Linked DNA regions of Callithrix jacchus. The protein of the gene in region 1 binds, or shares a complex with, the protein of each later gene. Links are inferred from orthologs where the notes say so. Each region holds a gene or a part of one and is shown on either strand. Other genes may lie near its edges. The genes, in order: ARHGEF7 and SHANK1.

What was found.
Region 2: the proteins of ARHGEF7 (region 1) and SHANK1 are in contact, whole or in part, in a crystal structure (PDB 3L4F), measured with the Rattus norvegicus proteins. The link is inferred for Callithrix jacchus from reciprocal best matches to the Homo sapiens genes ARHGEF7 and SHANK1. Residues at the interface, in XP_063131056.1 of Rattus norvegicus: Asp735, Ala737, Trp738, Asp739, Glu740, Thr741, Asn742, Leu743; in NP_113939.2 of Rattus norvegicus: Gly673, Phe674, Gly675, Phe676, Val677, Leu678, Arg679, Gly680, Ala681, Lys682, Phe696, Glu703, His735, Arg736, Val739, Ile742.

The regions. Positions count from the first base shown.
Region 1 is NC_133502.1:26,672,797-26,677,102, forward strand, and holds the start of ARHGEF7 (rho guanine nucleotide exchange factor 7), read left to right. Parts: upstream 1-1,378; 5' UTR 1,379-1,744; coding exon 1,745-1,909; intron 1,910-4,306. UniProt on the Homo sapiens protein: Acts as a RAC1 guanine nucleotide exchange factor (GEF) and can induce membrane ruffling. Functions in cell migration, attachment and cell spreading. Promotes targeting of RAC1 to focal adhesions. May function as a positive regulator of apoptosis.
Region 2 is NC_133523.1:44,306,170-44,309,970, forward strand, and holds part of SHANK1 (SH3 and multiple ankyrin repeat domains protein 1), read right to left. Parts: coding exon 2,410-3,801; intron 2,319-2,409; coding exon of another isoform or gene 2,174-2,318; exon of another isoform or gene 1,913-2,173; intron 1-1,912. UniProt on the Homo sapiens protein: Seems to be an adapter protein in the postsynaptic density (PSD) of excitatory synapses that interconnects receptors of the postsynaptic membrane including NMDA-type and metabotropic glutamate receptors via complexes with GKAP/PSD-95 and Homer, respectively, and the actin-based cytoskeleton.

The DNA.
Region 1 (4,306 bases):
AATTCAGCAGTAAGGAGAGTGGACAGGAGTCTCGGTGGGCAACCACTCCGGGGTTGACGTCCTTCTTTCCATGGGGACTCTAGGGACAAGGCTTGATGTAGCTGTGGATTGCTCTCCTGTTTCCTAGAAAGCTTACAGGGCAGCAGGAAGAAACGGGTTAGCTATGTCTTTACTGGTAGAGCTGAGCTTCGGGTGCCATCTCTGCCATGTGTTCGGCATCTGATCGGTAAAACGGGGACCATGATGGGAGGTGAGGCAGTAGACAGCTCTTCGTGAGGTTCCTGCTGGTTGCTGTTATCACGGAGAGCACATTGTCCTCGTAATCCAGAATTCATACTGCCACTTGAATAGTTTGTGTATTTGCAAAGAAAATTTTAAACACTTAACTCAAGGCTAGAAATAAATGCAGTTAGTTATTGCAAGAGAAAACCACCGGCAGAGGCAGAGGGAGACGACCTAAGCCTCTGATTATTTTTGGAAGCTTTATGTGCTTTCTGGCCTCTGCCACTGAATGGATTAATGGATGTGCCTGGCATAGAGTAAGCGCTTTGCTTGTTCAACTGCCCGCGGGTCGCAGCGAGCAAACTGGGGAGAGCGCTCAGGGGCAGTGGGTGGAGTGAGTGGAGACGCGCGTCCTTTTAAGAAAAGGCTCCATTTGTTCCTCGCGTGGAAATGTGTGCGTGTCATCAGGTGCTCGAGGAAGCTCGCGCATGACCCGACAGCTGCCGTCTGGGATCTCCAGGTTCGGCCTGGCGCGTTCACAGCGCGGTCTCCAGCCCTGCTCTTCCGTGACGCTGCGCCCCCCGACTCGCAGCCCTGACCGACCCGGCCCTTCGCACAGCCCTGCTTCAGGCCGCCCATTCTCCTTGACCTTCCCCCAGCAGGGTCTGAGGCGTCGCCGCCCGTTTCGAGCGGGGTCACGCAGGCCCCTTCCCGGCCTGGAAGGTCAGCGCCGCGCGCTGAGCGTCAGTCCCCGCTCAACCCCCGCTCCAAACCCCGCCGGCCGCAGATGTCATCCTCATCCGTGCTCCGCAGTGACCGGAGGGAGCGAAGGGAAACAAACCAACGTCTCGTTTTCAGCCTCTCCCCGCCACCGTGACACAAAACCGGCAAAAATAAAAAGAGCATTCTGGGAAGCACTTCATCATTTCAACGCTCACGAATTCAAAACATAAACAAAGGGCTCCCGGGGCCCCGGCCGGGGGCGCGGGGCGCGGGGCGCGCGGCGGGCCCGGGGCAGGTGAGCGCAGGTGCGCGCCCGCCCCCGCCCGGGGCCCCCGGCTCCTTCTCCCCGCGCCCTGCGCCCCACGCTCCGCTCCCCCTTCCCCGCCCGCTCCCCGCTGCCGCCGCCGCCGCCGCCCCGCGCACGGCCTGGAGCGGAGGCTGCGCAGGGCGCGGGGCGGCGCGGGCCGGGCGCGGGCCGGGCGGACGGCCGCGTCTTTCTTCTCCTGGCGGTGATGTCATTGGGCGACGGCGGCCGAGGCCGGGGGGCGGCGGCGGGCGCCCGCAGGTTCCTGAGCCGCTCCTGAGAAGGCGCCTGACCGTGGGCCGGGGCGCACGGAGGAGCGGGCCGGGCCGGGCCGGAGCTGCTGGGCCGCGCCGAGCCGATCGCCGGCGCCGGCCGCTCCATGGGCGAGGAGGCGGCGGCGGCGGCGGGGGCGGTGGGGGCCGCGGGCCGGGCAGCCGCTCCGAGGTGAAGCAGGCGCGCGCCCCTCCCCGCCCGCCCGCCTCCCGGGCCGCCGCGATGAATTCCGCGGAGCAGACCGTTACGTGGCTCATCACCCTGGGGGTGCTGGAGTCGCCCAAAAAAACCATCGCGGACCCGGAGGGCTTTCTGCAGGCGTCGCTGAAGGATGGGGTGGTCCTCTGCAGGCTGCTGGAGCGCCTGCTGCCCGGGACCATCGAGAAAGTAAGTCCTCGCCCGCGCCCCCCGGCCCGGCCCGCTGCGGCCCGGGATGCGCGCGGAGCACCTGGGGCCGGCCGCGCTCGGGGGACCGCGCGCCCTCCTTTGTGCGCGGAGCGGCGGCGCGGCCGGCGCCAGGACCGTGGCGGGAGCTCCGGGGGCGCCATTGTGAGCGGGGCTGGGTAGGGGGCGGGAGGAGGGGCGCGGGCGGTGGGGGTCCGAACGCCGAGTGGCCCCTCCGCGCTGGAGGTGGGCTCCGCTGCCTCGCCGCGGCCCGGTCGGAACCGCGTTCCGACGCCGTGCGGCTCTGTCCGCTGGCTTTGTGTGGACAGTTCTTGCCGGTGGCGTTGCGTGTTTCGCCTCCCGGTGAATGGACCGGTTGCTCTGCATTTTTAAAGATGCTCGCATCTGCGGCTGAGGGCTGCGCTGGGAAATGATGTACTTACTTTCCCCTGGAGAAAATTACCCCCATCCGAGAGGACGGCAGACACAGGGTTTAAGCCCCGGCACTCTGCAAGGCTTGTTTAAAATTTCAGATTTCGTTCTCAGGTCCCTCCCTGGTTCTGAATAGAACCCAGAGTCCTGCAGGCACTGCCTCTCCCTCCCCTCTGGTAGTTCCCAGACTGGAGCGTGTGAACCCTGACCCGAATTTCTGGAAGTGATTAAAGTTTGTTTTCATCGCCCACAAACCGGCCAGCAGGGCCCAGGAGACAGGAGAGCTTCTAAAAACGAGGTCTCCCTGTAGCTCAAAATACCAATCTTATTCCCAGGGTTTTTTTTTTTTTTTTTTTTTTGGAGGAGGGGAGGGTGGTGGGTGGCCAATACACAGCGTTCAGATCAACAATTATTTAAAATGTGTTAAATACAGAAACTGAAGAGTACCACAACTAGGAAGAACGACTTAAGTTTCTAAGTGGGGTGTATTGGCCCCCATACAGCATGACAACTTGTAAATAAAATGCCACCTAAGTGACTTGAAAAGTAAAATGTTTAATCTTATACACGTGCGCATGTTCTGCTGCTACATTTTAAATGAGGTCAGAAAACATTAAATGTGAATTTGGCTTACATTCCAGTTTTAGGTATTTTTCTTACTTGGCACATTTTTATGAAGACGGAATCTGCATATTAGAGTGTCCATGAAATAAAAACGTTCCTTTAAAATGAACCTGATGTCACAGTGACATGATGATTTAAGACAGGAGGACTAAGGAGCAGGATCTGACTTTCAAGGCATTCAAAATACTTTGTTGTTTGGAGACTGGTACCTCTGGTAATACAAGACAGATGTCGAAAAGTGTTGAAATACATGCTAAGTTCGCCAAAATAGGCTTGAATAAAATCCTGTATCATCTCTGAAAGCAAAGCTTTGAGAAACTTCATATGCCGTGTTGATAAAAACGTGTCGCCATCAAAGAATGTGGTGTTTGGCATATTAACTGCATTAATAGTGATTGACAGGCTTCAATAATCATTTTCTTCTGAATTCTAGAAAGATTTTCCTAGAAAACTGTAGCATTCATTTCAACTCTAAAACAACGGAGAGAGGAATGAATAAAATGTTGAGCTTGCAGAAGCCAACTTAAAACAACTCAACATATTCTAAAACTGCAGTCATTTGGAAATGTCTTAGGTCAAATATGTTTTTCATTCCCCCCCAAGCTCCAGTTGGTTTGTTTTAAACTGACTCTGTCACAGTGAAAGTTTAATGTAAAGCAGCATATTGTAGACACAGTTGCTGGTTCTCTGGAATTCAAAGGTAGGTTTTTGGAGCAAAATAGCCATTTCTGTCTCTAAGATCCCTGCGTTTCAGAAGTTTTGTGAGCTTTTTCCATTTCCCAGGAGAGTTATCTGGGTTTTTTCTTTCTTTCCTTTCTTTCTTTCTTTTTTAAATAGAGATGGGGTCTTGCTATGTTGGTCAGGCTGGTCTTGAACTCCTGGCCTCAAGCAATTGTGTCCCATTTTGGCCTCCCAAAATGCTGGGATTATAGCCATGAGCAGTCATGCCCAGCCAGTTATCTGGGTTTTTGATGTTTGCATGCTTACCAGATAATCTATGCCACAAAGCATACATGCTGAATAATTTTTACTTAAATGTGGGAGTGTGAATCTGAGGATGTTTTTCCTTAAAAAGAAGCATTTGGATACTTAACCAAATATTCATGTGGATGTGCAGGGCTTCACTTGACCTCTGCGGCAGGGGTGCACGGACAGCCAGTGAGCAGAAGGCAAGTGGCCTGCAGCCTTCGCCTCTGCAAGCTCATAAGCTGGCCTGAGCCACGAGGCTGGGGATGAGTGCCGGACTAAGAAACGGAGCTGGGCGCCTCGGCTTTCCCATATGGCTTTTATTAAGAAACCATGTCCTAAAGCGTTTCTTCCATTACACTCATTTGTTCTGTTTCA
Region 2 (3,801 bases), on another chromosome or scaffold:
GGGTTCAGACAATTCTCCTGCCTCAGCCTCTCGAGTAGCTGGGACTACAGGCGCACACCACCATGCCCAGCTAATTTTTATATTTTTAGTAGAGACGGGGTTTCACCTTGTTGACCAGATGGTCTCGATCTCTTGACCTCATGATCCACCCGCCTCGGCCTCCCAAAGTGCTGGGATTATAGGCATGAGCCACCACACCCGGCCACATTTGTTTATTTTTATACAACCTAGGAGCATTGATTCAAGTTGCTCTGATAATAGACACTCACTTTTTCTTTTCTTTCTTTCTTTGATTTTCTTTATGACAGGGTCTCACTTTGTTGCCCAGGCTGGAGTGCCTTGGTGTGATATCAGCTCATTGCAGCCTCAACCTCCCAGACTCAAGTGATCTGCTCACCTCAGCCTCCTGAGTAGCTGGGACTACAGATGCATGCCAGCGTGCCCAGTCTCCTTTTTCTTTTATTTTTTTACAGCCTGGGAGCATAGATTGAAGTTGCCCCAAATATACACTCCCTGAACCCATATTTGAATGTCACACACATTAGGATAACAGATCTTCAAACAGAATACGAGTGAACTCTGCAGATGGACAAGGAGATTTAAGAACTGCTCCCAACCCTCTGTGTATCTGAATCAGAAATGTAACTCTACTTTCTCTAGGACTAGAAGGTCTTGAATCGGCTGGAATTCTGTGGCGAGGTAGCTAACTGGCTGCTCCGGGAACCTTCGGCCTCATCCCGTATTTCCCCATGTAGTAGTTGCTGGGCTCTGGTTAGAGGCCCCATCTCATGTTACAACAATGGCCCACATTAAATCCTCTCAGAAACTCTTTGAGGCTGGCACTAGGCCATCCGCCTTCTACAGAGAGGTAGAATTTGCCTTAGCATTCATTTGCCTAAGATCACTCAGGTAGAAAGTGGGAGGCTGGGACTGGAAGCCGAGAAGGTGGGCTCTAGAGCCACACCTGCAACTGCATCGTGTCTTGGACCACACAGGCTTCAGGAGACTCACAGATTTCAGGGACTGGCAGAAAGAAGTGACGGCTCACCAAGGAAACAAACATAAGCAGGTCTCGCTCCAGTATCCTTTGTTAATGACTTTTTGTTCATTATGGGATATAGGTTGTGATGGTGATGGGAAGACACAGCGGAAGCTACTGAGATAAACGGAAATGTAAAGGCTGGACTCAGTCGCTTACATCCGTAATTGCAACAGTTTGGGAGGTCAAAAAAGGAGGATTGCTTTCAAACTCCTTTGAAACTAGCCTGGGCAACATAGCTGGTCTCTACAAAAAATTTAAGAAAAATTGGCCATGGCCAGGTGCAGTGGCTCATGCCTCTAATCCCAGCACTTTGGGAGATCAAGGTGGGGTAAATTCCTTGAGGTCAGGAGTTCAAGACCAGCCTGGCCAACATGACAAAACCCTGCCTCTACTAAAATACGAAAATTTGCTGGGTATGGTGGTGGGCACCTGTAATCCCAGCTACTCAGGAGGCTGGGGCTTTAGAATCATTTGCACCTGGGAGGTGGAGGTTGCAGTGAGAGGAGATTGCACCACTGCACTCCAGCCTGGGCAACAGAGCAAGACTCTGTCTCCCCCCCCAAAAAAAAGAAAAGTTGACGGGGCATGGTGGCATGCACCTGTAGTCCTAGAGGCCTGCTCGAGCCCAGGAGTTTGAGGGTGCAAGTGAGCTATGATTACATCACTGCACTCCAGCCAGGTGACAGAGTGAGACCCTGCCTCTAAAAAAATTAAAAAGAGCCAGGCGTGGTGGCTCATGCCTGTAGTCCCAGCACTTTGGGAGGCTGAAGCGGGTGGGTCACCTGAGCTTGGGAGTTCGAGACCAGCCTGACCAACATGGAGAAACCCCGTCTCTACTAAAATTACAAAAATTAGCTGGGCATGGTGGCTCATGCCTGTAATCCCAGCTACTTGGGGGGCTGAGGCAAGAGAATCTCTTGAACCCAGGAGGTGGAGGTTGTAGTGAGCAGAGATTGTGCCATTGCACTCCAGCCTGGGAAACAAGAGTGAAACTTTGGGAAAGAAGAAAGAGAAAGAGAGAGAGAGAGAGAGAGAGAGAGAGAGAGAAAATTGGCCAGGCATGGTGGCATGCACCTGCAGTCCCAGAGGATTGCTTGAGCCCAGGAGTTTAAGGGTGCAAGTGAGCTATGATTATACCACTGCACTCCAGCCAGGTGACAGAGTGAGACCCTGTCTCAAAAAAATAAAAAAAGGAAAGAGAAAAAAAGTATCTGAAGGTGCGCTTCTGTGACAGCAACCAGCCTGGCTTCTGTTTCCTTTCTGCCACCCTGAGACCCTAAAGGGACACAGCCATGGGGTAAGCGGACTCTGGTACCCATGAAATCAAGCCCTCTGGCCTCCCTTCTTGGCCACCATCCCCCGCTTACCTCTGCCGCTGCAGGGAGGAAGTCCTCTCAGGGACGTAGCTGGCTCCCCCGTGGTGACTGTCTGTGCTTCCCCCGCTGCCTCCTCGGGCCCAGGGCAGAGCGCCTCCGGCTGCCGAGGAGCCCCCAAACTGCTGAAGCTTGGAGCTGAGTTCACTGATGATGCTGGCTTTAACTGTGGCCAAAGCTGAGGCCTGAGGCTGGGCCAGGGGCCCGGGCAGAGGTGGTGGCGGTGGGCCCGGGCCCTCCTCCCAGGGCAGCAGCTTCCGAGGCAGAGAGGAGGCCGTGGGCAAGGGCACCGGTGGGACTTCTGGCTCTACAGCCACCGGACCCCCCGCCACGCCGGCCGCGGAGGGTCCTGAACAAGCGCGCAGGGCCAGGAGCCCATCGGTTCCAGCTCCTGTCACCGAGACGGTGGGGCTAGTGGGAGTGACAGGGTCTCGGAGTCCCCCACTGGGGCCAGGCCGCAGGCCTCCAGCAGCTCCTAGCGCCCGGCCGCGGAGCTTAGAGGGAGTCATGAGCTGAGGAGGGTATGGCGGGCCGGGAGGACCGCTGCCCCCGAAGGCCTGGCCATCCAGGTAGGCCACATAGGTGTCCAAAAGCTCTGGCCCACTGGCCACACCGGCCCCACCCCCGCCCCCACCCCCTGCGCTGCCACCACCTTCGGCAGACAGGCTGCTCAGCGTGGAGGCACTGCTGATGGTCTCCAGCGGATGGTCACTGCTGCTCCGACTGTCCACTTCCTCGATGCCAGAATCCGTGCCAGGCGGAGGATCTGGGCCGGGCTGTGGGGCAGCGGGAGCCGGTGCTGCTGGGGCAGGTGGGCCTGGTGGAGGGGGGTCCCCAGGAGCGGCGGGGGCCCCCTGGGTCAGGGTGGCCACCTCGCTGTCATAGGATGTCAGGCTGGATGCGGTGGAGTCCAGGGTGGGAGGGGCTGCGGCGACAGCCGGGGGCGGCACGGGAGGTAACGGGGTGGCCGGAGCAGGTGGGTCGGGTAGCGGGTGCGGAGGCCCAGGCGTGAGGGGCGACTCCGGCTTTTCGAAGCTGTTGGAGAATTCCAGGGGCGGAGGCAGCGGTTCCACGAAGAGGAATTCGCCGTCTTCCACATCCACCGAGGGGGCGGGAGGCGGCAGGACCAGCAGGGGCAGCCCGTTCTCTTCACTGGCCCTCGGGGAGGTCGGGGAGGGGGGCACGGACCGGCGTGGGCTGGGTGGCTGGACCCCTGGCCCGTCCTCCGAGGGGGGCCCCCTTCCGCTCGCCACGGGGGCCCGGGGCTGGCAGTTTTCAAGGAACCGCACGTGCAGCGGCAGCCGCTCGGGCTCTTCGGGGGCTCCGGACCTCCAGGCCTTGCTCACTCCGGGATGCGGGGCCGGGGGCTCCGTTCCCAGCTGCAGC